Linked DNA regions of Tamandua tetradactyla. The protein of the gene in region 1 purifies or fractionates together with the protein of each later gene. This does not show direct contact. Links are inferred from orthologs where the notes say so. Each region holds a gene or a part of one and is shown in the gene's direction. Other genes may lie near its edges. The genes, in order: CASP8, BIRC2, tumor necrosis factor receptor superfamily member 10B-like and NOL3.

Region 1 (7,890 bases):
TTGGGCAAGTTTCTTTGGTTGCTTAAAAATATATGCTTTACTAAAAGACTGAATTTATGTTAATACATATTTCCTGGGTTGATTTTTATACAATCAGAATATAAAGTTTCATTGTAATTTTGTCCTTAGCATTAGCACAGTGCCTAGTATATAGTTGGTGCTCAACAAATATTTGTGGAATGAAAAAGTGATTCAAACTATTCTTGGGTTTTTACTAGACATATCATAGGGATTTAATCTGGAAGAAATAACAAGACTTTAGCATTTAATATCTGACCCAGTTTGAATTTTGCATATGGGACTGAGATGAGGAATCCCATATGTAAGAGAAGATCTTCCTGAATCTTCTGTTCCACAATGGCCATGCCATGTTGAGATTGCGTGGTGTTGTTTCATCAGGGATCAGATGAGTTCGCACCGCAAATGTTTGAAGACTGTGACTCCTGATTTTTAGTAGAAGAATAACAAGTGTCCATATGTGCTAGTTTGGGTGATAATATTAAGAATACCCTCAAAATTTATGGTTTCAAAATGAACCATTATGCCATGAACAAACAAAAATGCCAGGGGCTTGTAAACCTAAATAAAACACAATGACTACCTGCTCACAGGTGTTTAAACACTTTGGCCTTCAAGATAGGAACAAGATGGTCATAAAAATCTGTCTTCACTTTAAACATTTTTAATTAAAACTTTTTATTACCAGAAGGAATATACATTAACAGAAGAATATTAGAAAATAAAGATAGGAAGAACTAAGTTTTGGCTATGTCTACTAAATTTATAATATACTTATTTTACAAGTCAAGAATATGTTTAGATGTAAGATTTGTGGAATAGATTACAAAATATAGGTAGTGTGTAAATATTAAAATAAAGATAATTTAAGAAGGCAAAACACAGACAAAAATTAACTGTGATTTCATGGTCCCGAGACGATCATTGTTAACATTTTGCTGTTTAATATTTTCTTCCAGAAAGTCTTCTATGACTGCTTCTATTTGGTGTGAAAGGCCTGGTGAAGGTGGGACATTAGGAAGGAACAAAAGACACCTACCAGACAGACCCAAAATGGGGGCAGCTCCAGGGAGAGGTGGTCTGCGAGGAGCACTGGGTCCAGGCATCTCCTTTTGGACCCAACTTCCCTGTAAGGAGATGTCCACGTACCTGAGGAAAAGAATTCCAAGTCGTGATACTGTCACGGTTTCCTCTCACCAAATGAGACCATGAGGATAATGGGAATGAACTGGAAAAACGAGTCAAGGACTAAACAGAGAAATTCGTGGTTGACCTGGAGAATGAGTGGCACCACGTGTCTGAGAACCTATAAGAATCCTTACAGGGACTTGTAGGAAAGTTAGTGAGAGATGGAGGCCACGACATTGCCCTGAAGGGGAAATAAGAAATGGATATTAAAACTCAAAGAGAGGGGTGCACAGTGGTAGAATGTTCGCCTTCCATGTGGGAGACCTGGGTTCGATTCCCCGACCATGCACCCCCCCAAAACAAACAAATAAACAAACAAACAAACCTGAGGAGAGGTCTAGACACCACAAGAGAGGTAGCTCAGAGCCTGGGAATATGGCTGGAGAGTGGAAAGGTGCAGGGAAGGCTTCTAGAAAACCAAGGTGATAGACTAAGAGGTGCAAAAAAAAAAAAAAGAACTAGTGTTTATTCATTGGGCTGAACTTCCCTGGCCACTAACAGAAAGTGCCTTTATTTTTCTCGCATCACCACTTTCCATAATGATTTCACAAATCTTCTGTGATAGCCCCGACTAGACATCAGGCAGATCACAGCTTTCAGCCGTCCTTTGTTTATAAGAAGGATGCTATTTAGATAATTATACCTCATCTTCAGTCATTAACAATTTGCTTCAGGCATTTTAAAACATCTGTCTTACCTACAAGTCAAACTCCTCATCCCTAGTTGAGGGATGACTCCCAGCCAGGGGTCCTGCAGTCAAGGAGATTTTTTTCTCTTTGTCTTTTCATCCTGCATTCACTCTGGCTCCCTCAGAGCTGGGCCATGAGAAGGAGAGGTAAAGACCAAAAGACTTTCTGCTCAGCTTTGGATCTCTTTGGCACTTCCAAGGGGCAACTCAAGCACACTTAACGTGTTGCTGCCAACAGAATTTGAGAGTCAAAACAGAATTCTAACCCATCACACCTGAGCTCCTAGGCTTTCGGATGAACCCACAGTTTTAGGGCTCTGGCAGGCAGCTCTCCTGGGCAAGGTCCCATCAAGATGATTTGTGCCAGATCTGGATGATTCTCAGCAAGTCAAGTCACGCATGAGGTGACTCATTCAGAAACCAGAAGTGGAATCTCAGTTTTGTAAGCTACAAAGGAATGTTAATTTTATAACCTAACTTCTTTGATATTTATTTATTTTAGGACATTTTATTTTCATTTCATGAAACTATAAACATGTCCTAGGCACTAATCAATGTTTACTTAGTAATGCATGAACTGTTAGAGACATCTTTAAGACTTTTTTTTGAATATCTATTATAATATCTATTTGGCTTAGGCTTCTGAATAGCTTTCAGTGGAGAAAAAGTGATTCTTGGTGCTTGTCCTTAGGGTTTGAGGTACCCCATTTCTTAGGTATGGGAATGTAGTGAAGCAAAAACAGGGAGGATATTCACCATCTCCATATTGAGACCATCAAGAAAATACTGGAAAAGCTACAACGGTAACATGATTATTGTGATCATAACCTAACAATGATCTCAGTTTCCTCCTTTCTTGATCAGTGGTATGGGCTCTTGTAGGAAAGTAGAGATGTGAGTGTTGGCTATCAAAAGTTGCAGAGTTTATATTTGAGATCAGTGATTGTAAACTTCTTTATATCCCTACGATTGTCTAATCATTTCAACAAACAAAGCCCTTAAAATTATAGCTGATATAAACTTTGTTTTATACATGTTTGAGACACTCCCTCCAAACAGTTTTTTTTCTTTTCTTCTGCATGGGCAGGTACCAGGAATTGAGCCCGGGTCTCCGGCATGACAGGTGAGAACTCTGCCTCCTGAGCTACTGTGGCCTGCTCCCTCCAATTAGTTTTATACAAGCAAGTTCAGACACTACAGAGCCAGGATGTTTGCTAACGGGAGTGTCTTTGGAGACGGCCAGCCAGTTCAGATACCACAGAGGTAGGATGCTTGCCAGTGGATTTTTCTGTAGCTAGCTTCAATTGTTTCTTTTCTGGGAGACTTGCCATTGCTATAGCTGCGGAAATGTCCTGGGCACTCAAGGGATCGTGGGTATGTCAAACTGGAATTAATTCATTGGATTCCCAGTTGACTCAGTCCTCCTTTGGATAATATGGGAGCTCAAGCAAGTCAAGATGGTTAGTGTAGTCATTAGCCATTCTGTTTTTGCACTCTTTTCCCTTCCCTCACCACTCTTTGGAGGAATAGTCTAGGGCAGGAGGCAGGGCCAATGGCAGGAGGCCAGAGTGTGAAACAGGGGAAAGCACCCGCCTGGCCCTTAGTTTGGCTATATACAGCTTAAGAAAGCAAGACGAATATTGGGGTTTTTGTTTCATTGTCAGCATTTATTTTATTTTATTATTTTTTAAAACTTAAAAATTAAATAGAATAATGGTTACTAAAGACATATTCTTTATACCTAAAAATAAAATAAATATAGACTATGGGTAGATTTAAATAATTCATATAGTACTGTGGGTGGATCTTCACTTGGATACTATGCTACATGAAAAGTTTAAACTCGGCCATTTTGAATGAAGCTTCCCAGTTGGGCCTTCTGAATAGTCAACTATAAGGCAGAAGTTAAGAATCTGAAGTAGCAACAGTTCGGTAGTGTCGGAGTTTTCAGATGTTTCCAATTCTATGCACACATCTACTTGGATGACATTATTCTAAAGCATTTTGTACAGATCTTTCATTACATGTTTATTTCCTCGTTATTGTTAGAAATGGTCTGTTTTTTCCTAGGCAGTGGCAGTCAACTTCCCCCTCAGTTGTCTGTTTTCCACTGTTGTCTGGTATTCTTCATGGCTTATCTCCACAGGAGGAAAAATTTTTAACAGACCCAAAAGTTAAGATTTTATTCACAAATCTTCTTTGTTGTACAGAAAGTAAAAGTGCTATTACACACTCAGTGTAACCAGTGTAACTGGTTAGGAATCCCCTGCGCAGCTAGCCATGCTACAGCAAAGGCTCACATGAAAACCTCACAACGCTTACAATTTTATTGGGGTGAGACCCCCTGAGCTTGGCAGTAGATTTCTAAGATGGACTGAGGAAGGGGGAATGCCGTAGGAACTATTCTTAGGCTCTTTGAGTGGACGAGTTTTCTAGGGTTTGTATCACAGCTACCTTTAAAAAAAAAAAAAAAAAACAGCTACCGAATCCAAAAGAGTGGTCCAACCAGTACTGAACAGTTCTTTTTTTGCAGGTTATCTGAAGTCTTAATAGTATTCTCCTTCATCGTCTGTTTCTCTCTACGTCTTTTCACCTTTCCCGCTTCTTCCTCTCTTTGTCTTCATCTTCATCCTCACCCCCTTCGCCTTCATCGACTTCTCCATCGTGTCCAGAATCTCCCTCCTCCCCTCCGCTGACTTCATCTTCATCTTCTCCCCCTTCTCCATCTTCATCCTCTCCATCGTCAAACTCTTCGTCCTCGGCCACACCGTCCACCTGGGCATCCGAGTCGGGGCTCCGGGGCCTCCGGTCGCGGCCGTCGGGGTGGGTCAGCGAGCCGGGCCTGAGGCTCCCGCGCAGCCCTTGGGGCCGGGGACCTCCAGCCACAGGCCCCGGCGCCCCAGACAGCCCCGCTGGGTCAAAGCTCCCAAGGTGCTGACAGCTTCTGACCATTTCCGCTTACGTCCAGACGTGTGAGATTCGGAAGTTTTTCCGCTACCATGTGCAGATCTCCCAAGATTCTCCTGTCACTAAGCTCAAGTTTTTTCAGCTGAGGTAGTTTGAGAAAATTTGAAACTGAAGTCAAGGTTATATTTGCCACGCTGAGGCACTCTAAATTCACAAATTCAGCTGCGAAACCCTCAATTTTCCATCGTTTGATTTGCAATTGTCCAGGACAAGTTCTCGAACCGCCGCCGTGTCCGGTTCCTCGGCTCCAGGTGGATCCTCCTCTTCTGGTCCTTGGCTCCTCTTCCCGGCTCGTCAAACTTAACTTTCCGCCGCGGGGGCGAGGGCAGAGCGGCCGGGCCGGCCCGACGAGGCGCGGCGAGGCGAGGCGAGGCGAGGCGAGGCGCAGGGAGGCTGCAGGCGGCGGCCGGGTCTCGGGCCGAGGGGGGAGAGGCGGAGGGGCGGGGGCGGAGGGAGAGGTGGCCGGGTCAGCCCGGCGAGGCGAGGTGCAGGGAGGCTGCAGGCGGCGGCGCGGTCCCGGGCCCAGGGGGGAGAAGCAGCGGCCGGCGCGGCGAGGCGCAGGGGAAGCTGCTGGCGGCGGAGCCCCCGGGTGCCCGGGACCCGTGGGAGCCGAGAGAAACCCAGGAAGGAAAAGGGGCTGGAGCGCGCGCGGCTGGCACTCCCCACAGTAGAAAACTCATTCACTCCGAATAACAGCTTCTCTTAAAGATCTAATGTTGATGCTCAAGGAAGTACCCGGGACTTAATAGGGGCCCTTTAAGAAAGCTTAACTTTCCTGTGGGGGAAGGGCCTTATAATGCATTCAAAACAAACCAAGGAAAACTAGCACTGGTGATCTTTGCAGTATCTCTGGTGATAATGTTTCGGATGTATCTTTTAAAATGAAATCTCATATCTGAGATTTCTATGTAAGTCTCCTTTGCACTGTCCCCAGATGCTTCCAGCAGCTCGGCCAGTTCTGCCAGGCTCTGCCTGCTGGGAGGCAGTAGTGCACAGGGCTCAACAGGTGCCCTGTGGTGGGAAGCTCCTAGGGTCAGGTCCTTGCCCTGCCTCTCAACAGCTGAGTGACTTTGAACTTCCTTTCCTCATCTGTGCAATATCCCGAATAATTAGCACCCACCTTCTAGCTAAAATAACAATAGTAGTGGATAATTATTGAGAACTCTGCAAGTCCAGGCACTATTCTAATTGCTCAAACTGCATATCTCCCATAGCTCCGCTCATGTGGGAGCTCCAGTGCTCCGCGTTTTAAAATCCTCTACATTAAATTCTGAGATCAATAAGGTTGAGAGTCAGGTTCATGTTTGGCAGACTTCATTCTGTCACTCACTAGCTGAATGAGCTTGGCCAAGGGTTTCAACCTCTCTAAACCTCAGTTTCTTCAGCTATAAAATGGAAATAAAAATATTATGCACCTCTGAGAATTGTTTGGCAGTTGCAAAAGAACTATTTAGGTATGTCTGGCACACAAACAGTTTGATCAATGTTAGCTCCTGTCATTATTAAACCAACTCCTTTTTCTCAGGTGACAGAGAACCAGTAATTTCTGACCTTTTTTCCTACATTACTCTATCTTTACTTAGATTTGTTGCTCCTCCGTCCACATGGTTCTTTTCAAATCCTGTGTTGGGGTGGGTGGGACTGGGGGTAGGGGAGTTTGTTACAGCAGAAAAATCCTTGTCTTTAGCCCAGTAGGACTGAGTTGAATCCAGGTGACTATTTGAGCCTCAGTTTTCCCATCCATAACATGGGAGAGCAATCCTCAGTATTGCTGTAACAATTAGAGATAATTCATGTAAAGGGTGCAACATATATATAGTTATTGTAAGAATATCGGTGTTCTGGTTAAAAATATAAAACATGAAAACAGAAAAGGCAGAAACCCCTTTAAAAATTGAAACAGGAAACAGGCAGAGAGTGGGAGAGTGGAGGTTGAAAAAAGCAGAGGAGGGCCTGGGGTTCAGGGCCCTGGGGGACCCACCTCAGTATTACCATCATTCCCAGCTCTGCTGGTCACTGTTGATCCCAAGGGCCCTGGGGATGGGAACTAAAGGGTTGTTGCCCCTAAGGGTTGGACCAGACCTTCCCTTTATTGTGTAAACTCTCTCCACTTTTCAGCCTGAGGCTGCTTTGATTTAAGATAAAACTGAAGGGGTTGGAGGGGCCTAGTCTGTGGCTTCGGTGCTGAGATTTGGATCAGAGCACAAAGGGAAAAATCCTCCCCTAACCCCTTTCAAGAGAGAAGGGCATTTTACTTGCCACGGGCTCAAGCCTGTCTTTGAAAATTACGGGGGTTATTAATACTAAAAGTTGCCAGTGTCATGCTTTTCAATAGAGCAACTTCCAGCTTCCTGGCTGTTTTGTTGTTGTTGTTTGCAAATTAATAATTGTCTGCCATCTCCCTCTTCTGAATAGTTCGATTGAACATTGAACATTTTGCTTCATGGTGAGTTGTTTCTTTCTGCGGTTTCAAAATAAAGTTTACGCTGTTGTTTTTTCTGTTGAGGAATTCTCTCCCATGCTTGGTGATGATCAGATGCTGTCTTTCTGCTGGAAGATAATGATTTTACAGGTCTCCCTTCGTTTGTCTCCTCTGATTTTTTTTTTTTTTGCCTTTCTTTTTTTTGTTTTTATTTAAGAAAACAAACAATACACTTAGAACCACCAAAAATGGATATCTTAGCGTAACCATAGGCACATTTAAATAAAGTATCCATAAAATCATTGTAAAACCTGTTTGTGCAGGAAGTTTCATAAAGCAATTTAAAATTAAAGCCACAAAGAGCAGATAATTTGTAAAACTTTCTACATGATATTTTGAGAACATTCACAGTTTTGACATTTGAGCAAATGGTATCTAAGTAAGTGTTTAATATGGAGAATTTAAGAACTCTGCTGTCTGAATTTGTAGATTTTTTCCTGATTCTTTTTTAAGCTGTGTTGAGTTCTCTGCCGAGTTCTCCTTGGAAGACTGCCTAACATATAACCAGGAAGTGCGTCCTCTGAGGAAGGCGGGGGTGAGTGGAATG
Region 2 (7,678 bases), on another chromosome or scaffold:
GTGATAAATATGAACTATGACCATGTGACTAGCTAAAGAAATGAGGACTGTGATTGTATGAATATTTCCTTGTTTTATTATGAATATGTTTGTATTTGTACATAAATATCTTGTTTTCCTCTTATCATATGACAGAAGTTGTATTGTTCATCTTATAGTATTTAAGTCACAGGATATGAAGTTTAGAGTGAATGTTACCTAATGACTTGTACCCTATTTTGGGGAGATGTAGTGCACTTTCGGTTGTTCGCAGGACAGTTGAATATTGTTAGATGAAACATATGTCTGTTCTTGTGTTCATTTGGAAATTAACCTTGTTTCAAAGTGATGTGTTAGCTGCCAAGTTGACAAGGGGAGGAATGTGATGATTAGGTTCTGGTGTCAACTTGGCTAAGTGATGGTATACAGTTGTCCGGTCAGACAAACACTGGCCTGACCATAGCTAAAAGGATATTTCATGGCTGGTTGATAAACCAGAAGGCTAGTATATTAAATCATCAGTCAGTTGACTATATCTGTGGTGATTACATCTATGACCAACTAAGGCAAGTTTCCCATAAGGAGATAATGCAATCAGTTGGGAGGTTTTAAGGAAGAGGAGGGACTCTTTCACTGCTTGTTCAGCCAGCAAGCCCCTTCTGTGGGCTTTGTCCAGACCTTCATTGGAGCAGCCAGCGTCACAGCCCACCCTACAGATTTTGGACTCTTCCATTCCCATGGTTGTGTGAGACACCTTCATAAATCTCATATTTACAGATTTCTCCTGTTGGTTGTCTCTAGAGAACCCTAACACACAGACCAAAAGCTTGAACTTGATAACTATATTTAAGGTGGTTATATAGGCCAACATCTTTGTTCTTAGGAAATGTGCATGGAAGTATTACGTACAACCTACCTTCAAATGTTTAGAAAACTAATAGACATAGATAGAAAGATAAACATAGATCAAGTAGGTAGATAGATAGATAAAGACACAGAGTGATAGACAGAAAAATGTTAAAACTAGTGGATCTGGGTATATAGGTGGTAGGTATGTTGGAGTTTCTGTATGGGTTTTGTGTTATTTTTTCAACTACCTTGCAACTTAGAAATTATTTGGAAATAAAAACTTTAAAAGAATAAAATATACAGTTCACTGAAGGAAATAATTAACATGAAAAGACAAGCCACAGACTTGAAGAAGATATTTACAATATATATAACCAACAAAAGATTTGGATAGAGAATTTTTCTAAAGAACTTCTACAAATGAATATGACAAAAAAAAAAAAAGAAAATGAAATGGGCAAAGGTGGTGAAAAGCAATTTGCAGAACAAAACTAAATGACTAATAAACTTATTTAAGAATGTTCAATCTCACTAGGTATCAGAAACATGCAAATGGAAACAAAATACAAACATTTCAAATATCACATTGGCAAAAATTAAGTCACAATACTAAAAGTGACAAGGATGAAGAATAGTGGCACTACTGATAGGAGAGTAACCACTCCAGAGAGTAATTTGTTAAGATCTAGAAGACTTGAAGAGATGCACGCCATTAGACATGGCAATTCCACATTTAGGTATTGAGAGAAACTCTTCCATATGTGCAAAAGGAAACACAAGAATGATTATTGCAGCATTATGACAAAATATTAGAACAATCTGAATGTCCATTCATTCAGGAGAGTAAGTTGTAACATGCTACTGAAAGATATATGAATGTCTAAAAAAAAAAAACAAATGTTGAACGAATCAGTCTCTTGTTACTATTGAGTTTTTAGGCCTGGGTCTGCTGAATTCAAATGCAGCCTATCAACTTAATGCTTTTCATCACTTTTCCTCAGTTTTGTCTTATTTCTCTAAATATTAACATATGCATCAGACAAACATTACTATGTACTGTTTACTCATGCTTCTTAAGAAAGTTAAACATAAAACCACCATATGATATGACAATTCCACTTCTAGGTGTCTATACCCAAAAGAACTAAAAGTAGGGAATCTATATATTGGAGAGATATTTGTACACCAATGTTCACAGCAGTGTTATTCACAATAGCCAAAAGATGGGAGCAACCTGAATGTCCAGAAGCAGATGAATGGATAAACACAATGTGAAATTATGGTCCTTAAATACCATTTCCCATTAAAGGAACCAGGGCACCTTGGAAAGCTTATCATGGGATGGGATAAAATGTACAAGATGAGCATGGAGAGCAAAGACTACTACTGCTGTATGGAAAGGACTTAAAAGCCAGTATAACTTCTGGCCCATGAACTCCAAAAAAAAAAAAAAAATGAATAAGCTCCTACTAGCATAAGATAAAACAATTTGAAAATAATGATGATAGCTGCAATGAATTACAACTCACCAAATACATTTACATCTCTGAGTTCATGAGATAGCTGTTCACCAGGAATTTTTTTTAATAGTGTAAGGTCATGATTTAATATTATATTCCATTAGAGTAATCATTCAATTCAACATTATTTAGTGACTTGTTGATCCTTTTCTCACTAATATGAACACTATTGTCATCTATCCAATTCCCACATAAATGTGCACATTTTTCTAGCTCTCTGACCTGTACCTTTGTCTATTTGTCCATTTTTGTGCTAATCTAAGATGGTCTTAATTATTATGCTTTATTATATAACTTGGTATCTGGTAGGGCAAGTTTCTTCAACTTCATTCTTCTTCAAAATTGTCTTGGATCCTATACATAAGTTTCTCTACGTAAATGCAATAAATATTATGAATGCAAAAGCAGCAGATTTATACAGCCTATTTTTAAAAATCACTAGCTATTGTACACTGGAAATACGAAAAAAATTAACTGATAAATGGATAAACAGCTAGTAATACTAGATCACAATGTCATACAAGATTAAAAGTTGTATTTATTACACCTGAATGATATTACATACTTTTTTTTAAGGAAAAATATTTATGGCTTTTGAGCTTTGAGATTTAAAATTTCCCCTAAACTGGGCGGGCTGCGGTGGCTCAGCGGGCAAAGTGCTTGCCTGCTATGCCGGAGGACCTCGGTTCGATTCCCGGCCCCAGCCCATGTAACAAAAACGGAGAAACAGAATACAATAAAACAAGAAAATGTTTAAAAATGTTTCCCTTTCTTCCTTCCTTCCTTCCTTCTATCCTTCCTTCCTTCTCTCTGTCTTTCCTTAAAAAAAAAAAAAAAAAAAAAATTTCCCCTAAACTGAGAATATTCATATTTTACTTTTTTTGGTCAGGACAAGAACTAAAAAAAGAGAAATAGACTTGAATTCACAATGAAAAATTCTTGCTATGTATACTTTCTAGATTACATATTTCCCCACAGATAAGAGGAATGTTTCTGAACATCCCAGAAATAATGACTTAGAGCAAATACCCAAATATTAGCAAAAACCATGCGCATTTTGAAAACATTTGGTCACTGAGAGTCATAGCATTTCTTTTTTCCACATCCATGAATGGTTACAAATTCTTTCTTTTTATTGTTAACATTGGGACAGAGACATGTTCTATGAATGGCAGGCAGAAATGACATGTGCAGGAAATGGGAAATGGTTCAGGGTCTTGGAATTCCCCTGCTTACATAATTAAGAGACTTAGTTGTAAGTTTTTGAAATACTTGTCCTTGGAGTTCCCCTGAAAGAAGAAAGCATCTGAATTAATTGACAAACGTCTTGAGATTATAAATTTTTTAAAAATTGGGTCATTGCAATATGACAAATATTTACTGTCTGCCACTGTGTTCCTGGAATTATTAGGGAGCAAGTGAAAAAATGTCCATGCCTAGTAAGACCAAGATTTTGCATTTCGTCTATCACTTAACTATTTACACATTTTATAAAGGGGTTCCGCACCGGTTCGCATACACCATACACACACGTACACACATATACACATGTACATATATGTGTATGCATAAATACCATTTTATTCAAACATTGAGAGAAATTTGGGAGTTAAGATTGGTCTAAAATACTGTTCGCTGCTAGCGATGGGCATCTGAAGGGCACTTTCTCTTTAACGCATATGTCTCCAGAACAGAAAGCCAAAGTTTTAAAAACAAAAGTTACACTCGTCGATTATAAACACATCAAGTGTTCAAAATTAACCTTTTGATGCAGTTCAATTTTCCAACACTTGGCTGGTTTCAATTTACACGGTTACCGGACGAAAAAAAAGACACTAGACTCCATTTCCAAATACAGTCATCTACGAGTGGAGGCGTCAGACTAAGGCAATTTCGCCACTGGCTGGATCATAACTCCTGAGGTGACATGGAAGAAGAGGCACAAAATCACCGGCGCAATGGCGTTGGCGCAGGGTTTCCCGAGACTCAAACGCAACGGAACACGAAAAAGTGCCTCGTCCTCCTCAGAAGGTTGTTAGGGACAGGGAGAGGGAAGCGTTAAAAGTGGCCAAGCCACGAGATGAAAAAGCAAAACACCTAATTAATGTGGATAGTCCCACCTCACGCCGTGGGCTGAGCGCGCAGCTCCAGGTGGACTACCACGCCGGCTTCGCTGTCTCTCTGCGTCTCTCCCTGAAGCTCGGCTAGTCTGAAAACTTCCAGCGCCGCCTGCTCTTCGGCGTCAGGCTTTTTGCAGCAGACCCCTCCGCGGTCGGGAGGCGGTTGACGCGAGCCGGGCGCGCTGACGTCACCGTGCGTTGGCGTAAGCCCTCCAGGGCCCGGGGGGTGGGGGGCGGTTTTAGGAGCGCAGGACGCGAGCCCTGCCTGGTCTGGCTTGGCCTGGCTGCTATCTGCGCTGCAGCTGCCAGAGCCTGAGGAGGCCTCTAAGCAGCCTTGGCGCCGCCGCAGCATCGCTTCCGTCTAGTTGCGCCGGCATCACGGTGAGTGCAACTCTTTGACGGCCCTGGCGGCGCGGGTTCGCGGGAGGCGGCTTGGGGCATTCCGGCTAGCAGGGAGCCACTTCTCTGAAGTGCGGAGGTGCGAGGAAGGCCGAGGCCTGGGGGCTCTTAGCTGAGGGTTGCGGGTCGCAGTGAGCTCTGCTTTCTGCCTTTGACACGGTTTTCATTTAATTCGGAAGCCCTAGCTTCAAGGCATGCAATCGAAAGTGGTTTAAAAAAATTGAGTTGTTTTCACGCAGACTCTGGCCACCGCCCATTTTTTCAGCCCTTGGTGTTTGGCCAAGTTGTTTTCTCTCAGAGGTTTTGCAAGGTTTTAAACTTAGCTTTCGGTATTCCTTAAATTTAAAATATTTAAACGAAGACGGCCCTGTGGTGGCGAGATCTCACATTTCAGAGTTAACAGTTGCTCTCTGCCCTTCTGTAGACAATTGTTTATTGTGAAAAATAACCCCGGAAAATTAATGACTAAATCCCATAGTTTCTCTGTTTTTCCCTTCTGGTCTGCACCCCACACAACCCCCACTCCTGACTGTCTATAGTTTGCATAAAATGGTAAAATCATCAATACAGTGCTCGTCGATAGAAATCTATAATTTAATATGCGATCAGATCTAGTGTAATAAAAGCATTCATGTTAGTGGTCACAATTCCCGAGGCCATTGTTTCACAGGCCATTGTGCTGTTTTGTTTTCTGTGGTTGTGGCTTTGTAATTATAGGAGTTGTAGAGTTTAAGTTTTATATAATGAGCTCCTGATGCATTTTACTCTTACTAGACTAGGCAATTTGCCTAGTCCTGGAGAGACTTGACATTAAAAAATAACATAACTGTCTAATAACTTCTGTGTTCTTGCTGATGGGTATAGTAAAGTCTTTTTTCAACATTATCTGTTTTTTTCACCAACAAACTGTCAGAGATATCCTTAAACTACTAAAAAGTTTTTACCAGAAAAGGTGAGGAGACTTCCCTTTGTGGAAATGTCCGTCTGCGTCAAAGTTGTACATTTTTCAAAGATGTAAGTGCTAATGAGAGGATATTGCATTTATTTAACTTATGAGCTTTTCCAGTTACAACATTTTGGTGACAAATAGCTGGATTCAAGATGTATTGTCTAAAGTATAAATTCTGTGATTCTCTTTTCAATAAAACTAAAATTTTCTAAAATAGCTTTTGTATTTTCTTTTCAGATTTTACAACCTTGAAGAATCTACTTCCCTCAACCCCGCCCCCGGCAATAATAAATCCCATTATGGAAACTCAGACACTATAAAAAGGGATATAGTTTGAGTTTTGTGGAGTATAATTTTGTGTATGAATTATGTTTAAAAACAGAAAGGCTAGTCTGTTGGTAATACAATATTTCTGTTAGCATTTGTCATGATACCGGAAAAGACAAACTGTGACTTTTGATGAATTGATTGGTTATTTACAAAATGAATGATAGAGATGCATGATTCTTAAAGGAAAGATAGATAATTTAGTTTTTACAAAGACAGGAAATGTGAGAAGTTTCTGCTGTTGAAATTTTATGGTTAATTTTTTTTGGCGATATACCTTCAGATAATTTTAGTTGGTAAAGTATAATAAAGTGGTATGCAAAGTTAGTAAGAAATAATAATGATGCTATAGGAAGAGGAATCAAGTATAGAAATATGGAATAATTAACAGTTTGTGAGCTCTACGCAAAATTTATTTCATTTGATATGATACACCATTATAAGCTTAGGTTCAACAAAGCTTGTGAGTGTTGGCTTCCCTAAAAGTTATTAACTGAAGCTTACAAAACCCACTTACGTATTATGGGTTATGCTGTGAATATAAGCTTTGTGAAATTAGTCTTTAGATAATATGGCTATATGAAGACTTCAATTATTTTTGTTTACTAGAATAGAACAAGGTTTTTTTTTAGTACCTTACTTAAGTGCTTATAGGAAAAGAAGCCTGATGCATATCATTTTCCCCTGTCTTTTAGCATAATCAGTAATTGGCCTGATATCCAGGCATTGTAGCTTGTAACCAAAAGTAAATTAAAGGCACAGTTTAAGTGGCTTGGAATTTGGTAACATAAGCCTCTTTTAAAAATCAGGGGGGTTTTAACATATTTTCAGAGGTACATCAATTCTGTCAGGCTATTAAGTTAGTATTACACTAAATTATAGGTAAATAGCACTTGGGTGACCTAAAAAAGTTAACATAATCCCTCAAAATATTAAGGTTGCATCTTGGTACAACCTAGGAGAGATAGTCATTTTGAGTGTGTAATCAGGTGTAAATTCAGTAAAGAAGGTTTAGTGAATTCTAGATAAGTAAGCTATAATTTGTTTCCTTTTTGTGATAAAAATCTAGTCTGAAGAGAAAAATTCATGTGAAGGCTTTTAGCCATCAAAAAGTAAAAGCACCTACTCATGCACAAAACTACCTCCCAAAGACTTGACCCAGGTCCCTCTCATCAAAAATTTGTGAGTAAAATGGAAGATAGCACAATCTTGACAAATTGGACAAATGACAACAAACAAAAAATGAAATACGACTTTTCATGTGAACTCTACCGAATGTCTACATATTCAACTTTCCCCACCGGTGTTCCTATTTCAGAAAGGAGCCTTGCTCGTGCTGGTTTTTATTACACTGGTGTGAATGACAAGGTCAAATGCTTCTGTTGTGGCCTGATGCTGGATAACTGGAAACAAGGAGACAGTGCTATTGAAAAGCATAAACAGCTGTATCCTAGCTGTAGCTTTATTCAGAATCTAGTTTCAGTTACTAGTCTGGAATCCAACTTTAAGAATACTTCTCCAGTGAGAAACAGTTT
Region 3 (7,398 bases), about 150 Mb from region 1:
TCCAAATCAAGGCATCAGCAAGGCGGTGCTTCCTTCCGGATGACTGGCTGCCAGCAATTCTTACCTCCTTTGCCACATGGCAAGGCACACAGCAGCGTCTGCTGATTCCCCTTCTCTTCCGAGTTTTGTTGATTTCAGCTTCTTGCTTCCGTGGTTTTCTCTGTCTCTCTGTATTCAACCTATTTATAAAGGAGTCCAGTAGGAGGATTGAGTCTCATCCTGTATAATGTGGGTCACATCTTAACTGAAGCAGCCTCATCAGAAGATCCTACTTATAATGGGTTTATAAACTAGGAATGGACTAGAATAAAGAACATGTTTTTCTGGGGTACATACAGCTTCAAACCACGACAGATTCAAAGCCCAGCCTCATGGACTCACCCAATGGCAGAACTCTCATTTTTCTGTGAGTGTCATACAGCAAGTTCCTTCTCCTGGAGCTGATTGTGTCCCAGAGTACTGTTCAGTGGAGTGGAGGGACCAGGGACAACAATATGCAAATGGTGGCAGCAGCCACAGATATTGGAGGCCTCGCCCAGATACTGGCAGATGAAATGAAAGGTAAAGGGAAATAAAAGAAGCTCTGTGGTGTGGGATGGACAGTATTTGGCACCTGCATTGCTCTGACAATGGATATGGAATAATCAAAGGTGACTTAGACATATGTCTTTGAACCTGGAAACAGGGGAGGGAGGACAGAAGAAAGAGATGTCTGTTTACCATACTTCAAACATTCTATCAGAGAGAACCTTAATTTTATAAATTGCAGGGGAAAAAAAAGTAAATTTATCAGACCATTCATATGTACTGGTAATTAAAGTCCTAAAACTGTAGACTTCCCGATAGAAAACATGATTCATTGCTCATAAAATCATCTTTTTAAGTCATGGTAAGTTGGTCATTAATTAACAAATACTTATTTTTAAATGCCTGGGCAAAAAGTGACAACCTGCCTATCTTACTCTCTAAGTATTTACATTTTGTAAACTAAAATTGAACCATTTCTTTTTTTTTCTGCAATTCAAGGTTTCTTTAGGGTAGTGTGGTTTTCAATTCAGATTCTCTACTTCCTGTATTGGCTTCTGCACAATTCTGAGTTGGGAAAGATAATCTTCAGGATAGGAGAAGTACCTGGAATCATAAGAGAATTGTAAAATTACATCTATTCTGAGATTGTGAAACAGTCTAGGAATGCCATCTCTCCTGGCTGAACAATGGGCTGGAAGCCCCTCTCGCCACTCTGCTGCCAGTCCATCCTTACCTGCCCCTTCCCAGGCAGCAGGCCATCCTGGGCACTTTTCAGGGACAGGAAAAGGGTCCGTGAGGCATTCTGCCTGCAGGAACAGAGCCAGGAATTGGAGAACTTTAGTCCCCCGACCAAATGACCAGCTCTCCACCAAATTCCCCTCATACAGTCTTCACACCAGCCTCTCAGTAATTCTCAGCTCACCCCCAGCTCCGAGGAAATTCTGTGCAAGTGTTAAAAAAGAGGGGGATCCAGGGGTGTGGACCTCCCTGGCAACGTGTGACAGAAATCCTAGAATGAGCTGGGACTCAGCATCAAGGAATTGAGAAAACCTTCTCAACCGAAAGGGGGAAGAGAGAAATGAGACAAGTTTGTCAGTGGCTGAGAGGTCTCAAACAGAGTTGAGAGGTTATCCTGCAGGTTATTCTTATGCATTATATAGCTATCCCCTTTTTAGTTTACTGTAGAACTCTGTTCCAGTGGCCATGTTTCTTGAAGATGATGGTATCAAGATATAGCTTTCACAAGTGACTGTGTGATTGTGAAAACCTTGTGTCTGATGGTCCTTTTATCTATGGTATGGCCAGATGAGTAAAGAATATGTCTTAAAAATAAATGAATAATGGGGGGAAATGTTAAAATAAATTGAGTAGATTGAAATACTAGTGATCAATGAAAGGGAGTGGTAAGGAGTATAGGAAAAAATAGAGGGAACAAAGGTTAAAATAAATTGGGTAGGTGGAAATACTAGTGGTCAGTGAGTAGGAGGAGTGATGTATGAGGTTTTTTTTTTTTTCTTTTTTCTTTTTCTAGAGTGATGCAAATATTCTAAAAAATGATCCTGGTGATGAATATACAACTATGTGATGCTATTGTGAGTCATTGATTGTACACCATGTATAGAATGTTTGTACGTTGTTTTGGTTTGTCATTTAAAAAAATTTGGAAAAAAAGAAAAGAAAGAAAGAAAAAGAAGCGGGGAATCCATTTCCAAGGACGTAAAAGGAAAGATAATCAAGGTATAACTTAAGTGTAAAAAGCTCCAATGTTCAGAAGGTCAAAGAGTGCAAATCTATTCTTTTCTGAAACATATTGCATGCATACAGGGAATTCTGAGGGAACATCCCGAAAGAGTTTAACAGGTTATCTCGGGAGCACGGATAAGGGAATCATGAGGACCCCCAAATTTCATAGTTCTAGGTAAATTTGATTATGTTTAAAATTGACACGCGCCCGTTCGTCACCAGGAGACTGTAAAGATGCGCGCGAAGTCTCTAGCCCAGAGCCCGGGCTCCGAGAAAGACGTCGGGGTTGCGGACGGTGCGTCTTCTTCACCGTGGCGGGCACGCGAGCTCCTCCGGACCGCAGCGCATAGCCCAGGGCAGGGTCCCCGGACAATGCACTGCGCGTGCTACTCGCTGGGCACCGACTCTACCTGGCGCAGGTGGAGGCGCCCCGCAGAGCATCCCTAACTCCGCCCTCGAGGGTCAAGCGTGCTAGGGTGATACTAATTCCCCTCCCGCGGGTCCACTTAATCACCAGGAAAGTGTTCCTCCGCCACCGCGTCGTCGTCTGCCCGAGCTGCCCTCTAACCCCGGCCCGCGCAGCGCCTTCTTGCCGGCCGCGCCCCTCCCGGGAGCCGGGGGCGCGCCCGGGGTCCATTGGTCCTGGCGGAGACTCGAGACAATTCTGGCCCCGTATTTCGTTGAGCTGAAAAACTCTTCTTCTTTTCCGTAGTGTTTCACGTCGAATTTTTCGTTGAACCACATTTTGGGGAGCCCGGAAATTGTATGTTTGTGTGTGTGTGTGTGTGTTATTAAGTACAAAGATCTAAAAAGCGGTGTCCTACAGATGGAGTGGTTCCCAGCGCTCAGCGCCCCTCCCTGCTCCACAGCGGGGCGCATCCTCACGCCACCCCTGTGCTGAAACCTGAGAGGCGAGGCGTGTGGCGTTGTGCGCGGTCAGACAGTCGGTGAGTCAGACCCAGGACTGGGGGTTGGCGGGCGAAGCCCTCTCCGCTGCGCTGGCCTAGTAGAGCCAGCCAAGTAGAGTCCGTGGGCCCCCGACCCGTAAAACTGCGACGAAGCCTGGAGCTGCAGGCGCCCTTGGGATTGCCTTCCCCTCCCACCTAATCTCCAGCCTTAAACCGCTCTGTGAGCACCCGGCAGGCAGGACCTCGATTTAAGAGGCATTGAGTTTACAGGACTCCACCGCGTCCCAGGTTAGCTACCGAGGTGGGTACGCGGGGACGGCTGGAAGGACCTCAAGACCAAGGATCCCTCTCTAAGTCCTTCGGTTTCAGGTGAGGAATAGTCCCCAGAGGTTCAGCTTCTCGGAGATTTTAAAGAATCCAACAGGGAAGGAAAATCCCGAAGAAGGCCGGCTTGGGTTCCTGGGGCTGCTGAGGCAGTAGGGTAGGGATGGCATTTTAATTGGCATAAAACCTTGAGGGCAAAAGAAAGAAGACTGACATGGTCTTATTAGAAAGCAGAAAGTGGTGATGGGGAGAGGGTGTGGAAGCCTCTGTGAACCCAGTCCAAACCCTTCGAAGGAAAATTGCACCACAGAATTTTAAACAGACAAAGATGACTTTATAGCTACCATGGAAGGGGGGAGAGAATAGAACTCAGCTCCCAGGAAGACAGAGTGGTGGTGATCAGTTTTATGGTCGAGGGAAGGACAATGGAAAAATATCAGTGGGCTATGTGGTGTGAGAGGGAAGGGGAATACGCTTGATAACTTGGTAAAATTAGTATCTGAAGTTGTCTGTTTTCTTTTCTGCAATACTGTTAGTTTTACTGTGCAGCCCTACAGCTCCAAGTCCTACAGGTTGGTCAAGACAAAGAAATCTTGGTCCGATCCTGCAGGTCATATCCCGTGTGTTCTCGGTTTCGTCCACACATCTGTTCGTGGAGCATTTGCTCGGAGCCTGGCACCCGGCTGTTGAAATGCTGAGGTCGAGGCCCCTCCGGGAAACCCCGCGGTAGGACAGAGCAACTTGGTGAGCGACTCCGGATTCAGTGAAACCAAGATCCAGTGAAGCCCGGCCGCGGATGGAGGGGAGGGACAGAGGTGAGGGGGCCACGGACGGGAGGCAGAGGGAGGGAGGTCAGTATTCCAGGGTTTACGCGCGGGAAAGCCAGATGCGGCTGGATCCGGACCTGCCTGAGCGCCTTCGGGTTCAGCGCCGAGACTACGGTGCCTGCGAGTTGCCGAATGCTCCTCCCCACCCGCGGCGCGGTGGGGAGATTCTGCGGGAGAATCCCTCCACCGATGCCCCACCCCCGGGGCTAGGCTTTAATCCCCACATATTTCTCCCCCGGAAGCGCTCGCAGAGAGGGTGCCAGCATGATTGGCCCGCAAGGCAAACTGTTGATTGGAATTGCGACCTGACTCGTCACCCCGCTGGCGTTGCGCAATCTATAAAAAGCGCTGCATCCGGCGGGATTCCCGCAGATAGACTCCGCCGCGATCTGGGACAGACGGCTTACCGCTCTTCTCTGAGAGAAGTACACGGATTGACATCGCCGGAGTTTAAACCCCGCGCGCGACCCGCCGGCGACCAGGGGCGCCGCGGAAGGCCATGGCACCGCGAGGCCAGAGCGCCCGCCAAGCCTCCGGGGCCCGAGTCGGGACCTGGGTCGGATCGGGAGCCAGGCTTCGGCTCCGGGACTCCTCGCCTTGGGGCCTCCTGAGCCTTCTCTTCCTGGCCGTCTTCCCGGTGAGTTAGCCGCCAGAGCGGGAAGGCGGGCACGGGGTGGGGGAATGGGGCGGTGGTGGCACGGCGGCCCGCGGGAGTCTCGCCCCGCTGCCCCGGGCGGGGCATGCCCGGGCAGGGCGAGGCCTTCGGCGCAGTGGAGGGCGGGACTGGGTCCGAGCCGCCGGGCTGAGCGACTGTAGTGGCGGATTTCAAAACCCACCGGGCGAGAGCAATGAAGTTTGTCATGTCCTGAGCCAACCGAGAAGGGGTCTGGTGCCCTGCAAGTGAGCGACAGAAGGATTCTCTTTTCTTTCTTTCTTTCTTTTTTCGATAAATGTTTTAAATTCTAAAGAGTACTCTCGTTGCAAAATGGGTGAAATTAATGCCAGCGAAAGTAACTTTCTCGTCGCCGACTTCCGCACCTTTCTTTTTTCCTGAGATGGCCGCTCAGAAGTTGAACAGTTGCCCGACTTTCTTCCAATCATTTCTTGATATAAACTTGTGCGGGACTCTTTTGAAGCGACCAGCGATCGCATGTTCTGGAAGCCAGGGTGTGACGCTGTTGATCTGACTGAGCCATGCAGTGCTGAGCGTTCTGAGAAACTCGTGGGGAAGAATTGTGTAAACTTCGAGTATCTTTTTAGGTTAACTTGGCCAAGGTCTGGCCAATTACATATTTGAAATTGATCGAGTTTAAAAAATAATAATAAATAATTGCCAAAACAAGGTTACAAGAATCATGAAATTGTTTTTTCATTTAGCAAATAAAAACAATTTAGAAAAATAATAGCATTTCTGTATTCACATGTAACCACAGACTTTGTTTTCAAGCTATCAGTTTAGATTAGGTAAGACCCAGATTTCCTGTAGCTTGTGAATAGTTTTAGTCTATTTTGTCTCCAGATTGGATTGGAAGGATAACCTGTGTGGCAAAGATAAAAAATCTGAATTTGATGAATTTGGGAATGTGAGACCTAGGCCTTCTGGCATTCCAAAGCCCCCTCCAGCAACCCATAAGTTTTGCCTTTCTCTGTGCATTTACGGGCACAATTATATATTTTTTCTTAATTCTGAAGCAAGAAAAAATTACATCTGCTCTTCTATGTCATACCTTCAGATTTCTTTTCCTCTTTTTATTTTTTTTTTAAAGCATAGTATTTTATTGCATGTGTAAGCAAGTATGGGTGAAGCACAGTTTATTTTACCGTTCTCTCCTATGGATAGCTGTTTAGATGATATCCTTTTTTTTCTTTTCATTTTTGCAAATTCCAGCAGCATTACTGCAGATATCCTTGTATGTACTGACGTGTTCCTGTCAATGGTTTAAGTCTTTAGAAGTATAATTGCTCAGTATGCGGGTTAAATTATCTTCGAAGTTTGTTTAGATGTTGCCAAATTGTTCTCCAGTACACTGTCATCAAGTGTATACAAGTGAATTTTCATTCTCTACTAGTCTGAGAGGTAAAAAATGGTGCATCCCAGTGTTGTGTTTTTGTTTCTTCCATCCTACTAGAGATTTTCAAGGACCTATATGTGTTTTGAGACTGGAAGCAAATCAGCTAGGAGACATCACACTGTTAGCAGGGGAGGGTGACAGAGGATTGGAATCTCAGCTCTGCACTTGAAAACTTTGTCAGCTGAGGCTTGACTGCCACCCAGCCACGCCTGTAACATGAAGATAACAGTCCTTGGGCTGTAAAAACGATTGTATCAGATGAGGCCTAGCACTGAGCTTACTTCTTGACTTTAGAAGTTCCGACAGGCTGTAAAAGATCTTGACCTTGGCGGCTGGAGCCAGTTGGGCCCTACTTTGCCCCTTTCCAACTTTGTGACCCTGGTGCAGCCATAGCTTCTTCATGTGTTCAACGTTGAGATCTGGGAGCCACTGTGGCGGATGTGTGAGCTTGTGTGGGAGGGCAAATCACACTGTCAGGGTTGACTTGGGTAAAAAAAAAATCCGTTTATTTAATGCTGTATGATTCCTTTTGCTTGGGGTTTGATGAATTTCTTGGACCTATAGATTTAGAGTTTATTCCCGCGTTGGAAATTTTTTGGCTATTAGTTCCTCAGATATGTGTGTGCCCCCTCTAGCCTTCCTGGGTCTTAATTACACTTAGGTTAAAATGCTGCATGTTGTCTCAGAGCTCACTGAAAGATCTGTTCATTTTTTTCTCAGTTGTTTTCTCTCTGGGTTTCATTTTGAATAATCCCTGTTGCTCTGTCTTCACGTTCATTGGTGTTATGTGGTGTCTGATTGGCTGTTAATCCCATCCATTTTATTTTTCATTTCATATACTGTGTACTTTTAATCTCTAAGAAGTTCCATTTGGGGCTTTTCAGTATCTTCCATCTCTATTCTTGTCATGTTCTTGTTTACCTTCACATCTTTAGCATATTGATAAGATTAATAAAGACTGTTTAAGACCATCAGTTCCATCATCCCCGACTGTCA
Region 4 (7,286 bases), on another chromosome or scaffold:
CTGGATGAGACCTCAGATGCCTCAGCACCCTCCCACTCCCACCTCCAGGCAGAACGAGATCTTGTGGCGTGAGGTGGTGACGCTGCGGCAGAGCCACGGGCAGCAGCACCGGATTATTGGAAAGGTGTTGCTCCTCTCCTTACCTGCTTCTCTATCCGACTCCCAGCCCCCGCCCACCCCACTTAGCCCAGTCCCCCAGCCCCAAGTCCCAAGTTAAATCCCCTCCTGGTGCCACCTGCTGGGAGTGTGCCTCACTAGGCTGGGGGCAGGGTCCAGTGTATGCATTAACCCTTTGCTTCCTCTTCAGCTGATTCAGTGCCTCTTGGGGCCACTTCAGGCTGGGCCCAACAGCACAGGAGTTAAGAGAAAGCTGTGAGTGAGAAAGCCAGAGATGATTACACCCGTTCCCCCACTTCTAGAATCCTCCATCCCCATCCCACCCCACCCCCACCAGGCTCTCTGCAGGGCAGAGAATGGTATTTCTCCTCCAGAAATACCACCAAGAATTCCCTTTTCTCCCTCTACTCTACAGGCTGCCTGCCCAGTGGCCATCTCCCCCAGGGCTACTTATCCCTCAGGACTTTTCCCTCTTTCCCCAACCTTACCACCAGATACTACCACTCCCAGATTCCCCTGCTCCAGGTTCTTTTCTTCAGATCCCTACCCAGAAGTCCACACCTCTCCTCCCCCAAGCATCCCTCAGGAGGTCTGGGCTGAAACCATGCTCTCTCACTCCCTTCCCCCCATCTCTGGGGGTGAGGGGAGCCCCTTCCATCTCCAGCATGTGACTGATGCCCTGGCAACAAGCATCAACTCTGCTGACTTGGCTGATGGGGCCTAAGGGAGGGAGGTGGGGGCTAAGGGGCGTGGGGGCTAAGCCTGCCCCTCCCCCTGCCTATGTCTCCACCACCCTGCACAGGTCTCTGATGCTAGATGAAGGGAGCTCATGCCCTCCGCCTGCCAAGTTCAGCTGCCCCCTACCCAGCACTCTCCTACAGGATCCCTACTTTATCCAGTCAGTAGGTTTCGCTTTTCTCCCCTCCCCAAGGGCACAGCTGGGCTAATGGAGAGGCTGCTCATATGGAGAGACCACACCCCTCCCCCAACCCAGACTCCTCTGCATGGACTGAGTCTCCCCTTCCAGACCTCCCCCCTCCCCCTAAACCTGGTCCTGGTGGGTGCTGGTCAGATTCTGGCCCTCCCTGTGGCCTGAGATCAAGGGCTGGGCCTGGCCTTCTACTTACAGCCACCCCCAGGGACCACTTCGGGACTCAGCAGACCCCACAGAGCGAGTGGACCCATCATCTCTGACATCCTGGAAGATTCCCCATCCCCATCTCCTGAAGGGGCTGGGCTTTCTCCCTCTAGTGGCAGCAGGAGGTAAGAGAGCAAAGGTTGTTCCCTTGGGCTCTCTGGGAGAGGGACTGGCAGCTGGAATGGCTGTGGGAGAAGAGGGGAGGGCAGTGCCAGGGTCTGGTTGAAGGTTTTCTCTGGTGCAGGGAGAAGGGCCTGGCACTGCTCAAAGAAGAGCCGGCCAGCCCAGGGGGGGAAGGCGAGGCCGGGCTGGCCCTGGCCCCAAACGAGTGTGACTTCTGCGTGACAGCCCCCCCACCGCTGCCTGTGGCTGTGGTCCAGGCCATCCTGGAAGGGAAAGGGAGCTTCAGCCCCAAGGGGTCCAGGAATGTCCAGCAGCCTGAACCAAGGGGCCTCAGGGAGGTCCCTGACAGGTGAGTAGAGAGCCCATTCTTAAATGTGAGCCTTGTGGGCCACTTTTGCAGATTGACCAGCACTCACCAGCCCACAAAACTTCCCAGCTTTCCCTGCCTCTTGGTGGCTGAGTGGGAAGCTTGGGTACTTTGAACCTATCATCCTGATATGATTTCTCAGAGTCTGCTTTCCAGGATCAGAGTCCCCTAGGAAATAGAAGGCTTATTAAAGTACAGATTTTCTGTCTCCTGTTCAGGTTAATCAACACCTCTGTTGTAGGGCTCAAAAATCTGTATTTTTAGTGAACTCACCAGGTGACTATAAAGTACATAATAGTTTAAGTGCTACTGATATGGCACTTGCATAGGAAGGGACACTTCCTAGGACCCTAGTCTTACAACCCAAAACTTGTGGGAGTTCCTCTCCTGGCATTTTTTAGATGTTGGGGGATGTAAACCCTAATATATCCCGGTTTCTCAGGGTGGGCCCAGCAGGCCAACAGAAGTTCTTTGTGCACAGGGGGCCTCTGGGCCTGGAGAGTGGGGACCCAAGCCCTGAGGGTCTGCTGTCTCCAATGCTGCTTGGGGGTCCCCCTGAAAGTCTGGACCCTGCAGGGCCCCTGGATGTGAGTACCCCTCTGGCTTGCGGGCAAGAACTTAGGGCCTAGGAGGGTCCGAGTGTCTCTGTGCAGCCTGTAGAGGATACCATTAACTCTGAGCTCCCCTCAGGTGCTGGGCCCCAGCCTCCCTGGGCGAGAGTGGACCCTGATGGACTTGGATATGGAGCTGTCCCTGGTAAGATGCAGGAGGGGCTGGAGATCTGTGGCTCATGGTCATTTTATCTGAGCCAAAGCCATGGCTGGAGAGGATTGCTGCCAGCACCCAGCACTCCTCCTTAGCTCCCCTTCCCAGATGCTACTTGAGGCTGTTCCGTGCAGATGCAGCCCTTGATTCCAGAAAGAAGTGAGGCCGACCTCGCAGTCAAGGGGATAAATTCTCTGGGTTCAGGTAATGGTTGGGGTAACTGGGAGTGGGGTGAGGAGGCCATGACTGGCCTGACCTACCATGATGGGATGAGGATGTGTTTTGGAGGGAAATCCCTTAGTTCAGGCAGAGACTTCTCCCCTCTAGCTGACCACTTCCGAGAATGGGAAGGTTGAGAATGGATGTTTCATCCTAAGTGAACAGAAGGTAGAGTAGGCGGGTCTATCTTTCCCGGAAGAAAGGAGGGGGAGACGTTTCTCCATCCTAAGTATGGCCCCACTCCTTCTAGGAAAGGACCCCGCACTTGGGGCCCCGCTCCTGCTGGACGTCCAGGCGGCTTTGGGAGGCCCAGCTCTTGGCCTTTCTGGGGCTCTGACCATTTACAGCACCCCTGAGAGCCCGGCCTCTTACGTGGGCCCGGGGACCAGTCCCTCCCCTGAGACCCTTTTCACTGTGACGCCAGAGAAGTAGAGGGGCTGGTCCGCGGCAGCTTGCCCTTTAAGGCTTCCTCGCGCCCCCTGGCGGAGGCTGAGCGAAGCCCATCCGCTCAGCGGCTTCTATCCATTCCCCGCGCCGAGCCCTGCACATAAACAGCATTTGTTTTTCTGTTTCCTGTCTCTTTTCTCTACCGACCAGGGAGCACAGAGATCGTGGGTGGTGGGCAATTTTGCATTCGCAGACGCCTCCAGGCTTTAATGGGAAACCACTGTCGAGAGTAGAAGTGCTTGGGGTTCCCGCCCCTAGCCCTTGTAGGCCCGGATCTCCTGCCGGATCCAGGGCTGTCGCACCGCCTCTGCGACCCCCGGGAAGTGAAGGCCTCTGGGTCAGACTCAGTTCTGCAGTGCACCCGCTGTGTAGGACCCTGGGTAAATCGATCCGCTTCTCTGAGCCTCATCTGTGACTGGCAGGGAGGAGGGGGCGTCGAGAGGATGGGTGTAAAGCGCCCAGGTATTGCCAGGCCCGGTGGGCGCGGGCTGAACTTCCTTCTCCCCAGCCCCACATTGACTCATCTGTTGGCATGCACGGGGCAGGGAGGGAAAACCAACTACGCGAATATCCTCAGTCAGCACGCGGGCTCTGAGGGACCGGCTCCCCCAGCCCGGGGAAGAACGCCCCCACTCCCCGCCCCCTCCACCCCCGGGATTCCAGGCAGCCCTAGCCGCCCCACCCCCGCCGCAGCTGCTGCCCCCACTCGGCCCAGCCCTTTCTGCACTGTCATCTGCCCGGCCGAGGCTCGATCCGTGAGTGAGGCCGCCCGCCCGGAGCAAACGGGACCGGGGGAGGGAAGGGAAACCTTGGGCAGAATCGGCGTCCGTCACCACCAGCCGCGCTCGGAGGTCTGTGTGCGCCCCGCCCCTCCGCGAGAGCCTGAAGTGGCGCGGAGGTAAGGGCATCCTTGCGGTCGCGAAAGTGCAGAGGCTCCCGCAGTTTCCCACGACCTGGCAGAGAGGTTAGAGTGGGGGCCGTCGGTCGGGGGCTGGCTGTCTGCTTCTAGGGCCGCCTGACCTCCAGGATCTGACCAATGGTCCTTTAAGGACTGGCTCCGCAGCCAATTGGCAGCGAGGTAACCTCGTTGTTTCCTTACGAGCAGTGAGAGCCTCAGGAGTTCCTAGATCAGCCGGGGTCTCTGCTTCCCAAATAGGACACATTATCTCACTGGAATAATAGGATACATTAGCATGTAAACAATCTAGGGAGGAGTGAGGGAGAAAAGGTGCAATCTGCACCCCTTCCTCTATGCCTATCCTGGGTGGGTGCTGCCTCCTCTTTCTTCCCCACATACCCCACCCCGCCCCCACCCTGTGATGGGGGTGAAAGGGAGCAGCCTTCTTTGAAAACTTTCAGCTGAAGAGGACAGAGGGTCCTGTCATATCTCAGTTCAGTGATGAGGGCATATGCTGTTCGCTGGTGCATGCAGGAAAAGGAACCATTCTTCCTTTGGGAGACTCGGGCATTGGGGCAGACAGCAGAACATTAGAGTCTTAGAGGGTGGGGCCATGGAATGGAGGGAGGAGAAGGACAAGCTTAGGTACAGCATCTGCAAAGGATCAGAAGCACCAGGGCCTTCGGGAGTTCTCAGAGCTGGGAGAGATGGAGGGAAATGTGGACAGACCTGACTGACCAGGGTATGGGAAGTAGTCAGAGCAGCCAGGCCAGATAATCTGGATTCTCTCTGATAGGCAGCGGGGCTGTGAGAGACAGGAGTGGTTAGGGCTAACATCCTGCTAGGTGGGTGGGGGGTGTGGGGGGGAATGGAAGGGAGCTGCATTACAGACTATATTATAGTTCAGACTGGAGCAAATCAGAGTCTAGCTCTGCTGCTTGGTCTCTCTGAGCTTGTCTCATCTGTAAAATGGGGACAATAAATCCTACTCCAGAGGGCTGTCAAAATCACTGTGCTGTGGGGGTGGTGGAATGGGAGTGAGAGGTGCCTAAAGGGACTGGTATAGAAGATAAGGTGACAATGAGGATCCCTGATGGGAGCTGATGGAAACTCAGACTGGAGCAGCAGTACTTGGATGTAACGGACAGGACATGAAGGAAGAGTGAAGGGCAGGAGGGTAATCCTGGTTTCTGTTTGATGACCTGGAGGAGAGATTGACACTTTGATATGCCAGGAGGGGTCTGAGACACGGAGCTGGAGAGGAAGAACTGGCAGACAGGACAGGGGCTAGGACCAAACCCTGACTCCTAGACAAGGCCTCTTAGAGCCTGGTAAGTAGGTGGAGGAAAGACCCCCAAGGTAGATACCACCCTGGGAGAGCTTAGGGGAGAAGAGGAGAGGCGGACTATCGCCGACGTTTAGGGGACCGGAACAGGAGCCTGAGGAGGAGACAGGGAAGAAGGAGTCCCCGAAGCAGGAGGACGACGAGTCCCGCGCGATGGCCTCCAGGTCCTGTGCTGCAGCGCTGTCTGGTCGGAGTAGAGGTGAACTTCAGCCCCAGCAGGGGTGTTCACTGCGGCCCTGGGAGAGAAGACGGGGGCGGGGAAGTCCCTGCCCCACTAAGACCGCCCCACTACTCCTTTTTCCCTCCGCCAGGCTGTCGGGACAATGGGCAACACGCAGGAACGGCCGTCTGAGACGATCGACCGCGAGCGGAAACGCCTGGTAGAGACGCTGCAGGCGGACTCCGGGCTGCTGCTGGACGCGCTGCTGTCGCGGGGCGTGCTCAGCCCGCCCGAGTACGAGGCATTGGACGCGCTGCCTGATGCTGAACGCAGGATGCGCCGCCTGCTGCTGGTGGTGCAGGGAAAGGGCGAGGCGGCCTGCCTGGAGCTCCTGCGCTGTGCGCAACGAACCGCGCAGGCGCCTGACCCCGCCTGGGACTGGCAGCACGTGGGCCCCGGTGAGCGCCTTGGGCAGAGCAGGGGCGGGGTGGGGCCTGGAGAGCCGAGCAAAAGCCCAATTGGAGTTGGTGGGAGCCACTTGCCAGAGAGGAGGGACGAGTGCGGGCGGAGGAAAGCAGGGACGGGTAAATTGAAACTGAAGACAGCGCCCCCTCTCTTCCAGGCTACCGGGAACGCAGCTACGACCCTCGGTGCCCGGGCCACTGGACGCCTGAGGCACACGACTCGGGACCTGCTTGGCCCGGGCTGCCTAGAGCTTCAGACAGCGACGATGTGGGGGGTCCTGAGGGCCGCGAGGAGGTACAATCCGGGATCCCCGAGAACCCCGAGCTAGAGCAGGAAGCCGAAGCCCCCGAAGAGGCTGAGCCGGAGCTGGAACCCCAAGTGGATCCGGAACCCGAGATGGAGGCAGAACCAGAGCCTGAACTGGAGCCAGAGCCTGAACTGGAGCCGGAGCCGAATTACGAGGAGGCGGAGGAGTCGGAAGGTGTGAGGAAGGCTGCCCCAACCCAGAGTGGCCTGGGGGGCAGCAGGCGGGTCCCCATCTCCTTAACTTTCCTCCCTTTATTTTATGGCCTCTAGATTCCTGAAAATCGGAGCACTGACTGGCCCCTCTCCGCTCAAGCTGGATAGGATCTCAGACCCAGCCTGGGCTGCACAGATGCCACAGAGGTTTTGTCTGGCGCAGATTGGAAATGAATAAACCCCAGACGGTCGGCTGGGCTGGGCTCTCCGCGATTCTGGCTCTTTCCCCAGGAATTGGGAGTGGGGTGGGTGGGTGGGTGGGTGGGTAAGCCCATGCCTTGAGTTCCAGTGACCTGGGCACTCCATGTCCCTCCAGGCCCAGCCACCCAGTCTTCAGTTTTATTTCTGCCCTCAGTAGCTCAAGCTACACCCCTGGAGACCCCAGGCATGCACTGGGACAAAAGACTGACCCCTGGTTGCCGCTCCACAGCCCTTTTACCCTCCTGAGCCATTTAGGGGCCTGTGTAGGCAGGCTCCAGCCTCCCTTCATGGAAGCCTCTGGGCCTGGTGCAGAGAGGAAAGGAAGGGGGACTTCTCTCCATTTAAGGAGGGTCTAGAGCTTAGAGCCTTGGGAAGTGCGAGTATTAGACAGGATTATTAGACCTTGGGTAGACAGAGCCCAAACACTTCATTGTAATTGCTGTTTTAATCGTCTGACTTCCACTGCACTGGGAGCTCAGAGAGGGTTTTGGCCGGAACTGGCCCATTGAAAATGCTCTATAC

What was found.
Region 2: the proteins of CASP8 (region 1) and BIRC2 purify together in Homo sapiens (affinity purification with western blotting; 4 studies listed by BioGRID and IntAct, with this or other methods). This does not show direct contact. The link is inferred for Tamandua tetradactyla from reciprocal best matches to the Homo sapiens genes CASP8 and BIRC2.
Region 3: the proteins of CASP8 (region 1) and tumor necrosis factor receptor superfamily member 10B-like purify together in Homo sapiens (affinity purification with western blotting; 14 studies listed by BioGRID and IntAct, counting the BioPlex papers as one, with this or other methods). This does not show direct contact. The link is inferred for Tamandua tetradactyla from reciprocal best matches to the Homo sapiens genes CASP8 and TNFRSF10B.
Region 4: the proteins of CASP8 (region 1) and NOL3 purify together in Homo sapiens (affinity purification with western blotting; 3 studies listed by BioGRID and IntAct, with this or other methods). This does not show direct contact. The link is inferred for Tamandua tetradactyla from reciprocal best matches to the Homo sapiens genes CASP8 and NOL3.

What each region holds. Positions count from the first base shown.
Region 1 is NC_135329.1:175,793,161-175,801,050, forward strand, and holds the start of CASP8 (caspase-8), read left to right. Parts: upstream 1-4,877; 5' UTR 4,878-4,948; exon of another isoform or gene 4,949-5,273; intron 5,274-7,864; exon of another isoform or gene 7,865-7,890. UniProt on the Homo sapiens protein: Thiol protease that plays a key role in programmed cell death by acting as a molecular switch for apoptosis, necroptosis and pyroptosis, and is required to prevent tissue damage during embryonic development and adulthood.
Region 2 is NC_135334.1:40,475,045-40,482,722, reverse strand, and holds the start of BIRC2 (baculoviral IAP repeat-containing protein 2), read left to right. Parts: upstream 1-4,820; 5' UTR 4,821-4,849; exon of another isoform or gene 4,850-5,102; intron 5,103-6,053; 5' UTR 6,054-7,271; coding exon 7,272-7,678. Other genes in the region: uncharacterized protein LOC143644315, read right to left, coding at 4,470-4,820. UniProt on the Homo sapiens protein: Multi-functional protein which regulates not only caspases and apoptosis, but also modulates inflammatory signaling and immunity, mitogenic kinase signaling, and cell proliferation, as well as cell invasion and metastasis.
Region 3 is NC_135329.1:23,968,164-23,975,561, reverse strand, and holds the start of tumor necrosis factor receptor superfamily member 10B-like, read left to right. Parts: upstream 1-4,396; 5' UTR 4,397-4,829; coding exon 4,830-4,967; intron 4,968-7,398. UniProt on the Homo sapiens protein: Receptor for the cytotoxic ligand TNFSF10/TRAIL. The adapter molecule FADD recruits caspase-8 to the activated receptor.
Region 4 is NC_135342.1:60,865,140-60,872,425, forward strand, and holds NOL3 (nucleolar protein 3), read left to right. Parts: upstream 1-4,690; 5' UTR 4,691-5,618; intron 5,619-5,730; 5' UTR 5,731-5,742; coding exon 5,743-6,037; intron 6,038-6,201; coding exon 6,202-6,527; intron 6,528-6,620; coding exon 6,621-6,671; 3' UTR 6,672-6,771; downstream 6,772-7,286. Other genes in the region: HSF4 (heat shock factor protein 4), read left to right, coding at 49-124, 308-372, 920-1,019, 1,247-1,380, 1,500-1,727, 2,227-2,332, 2,436-2,501, 2,645-2,714 and 1 more.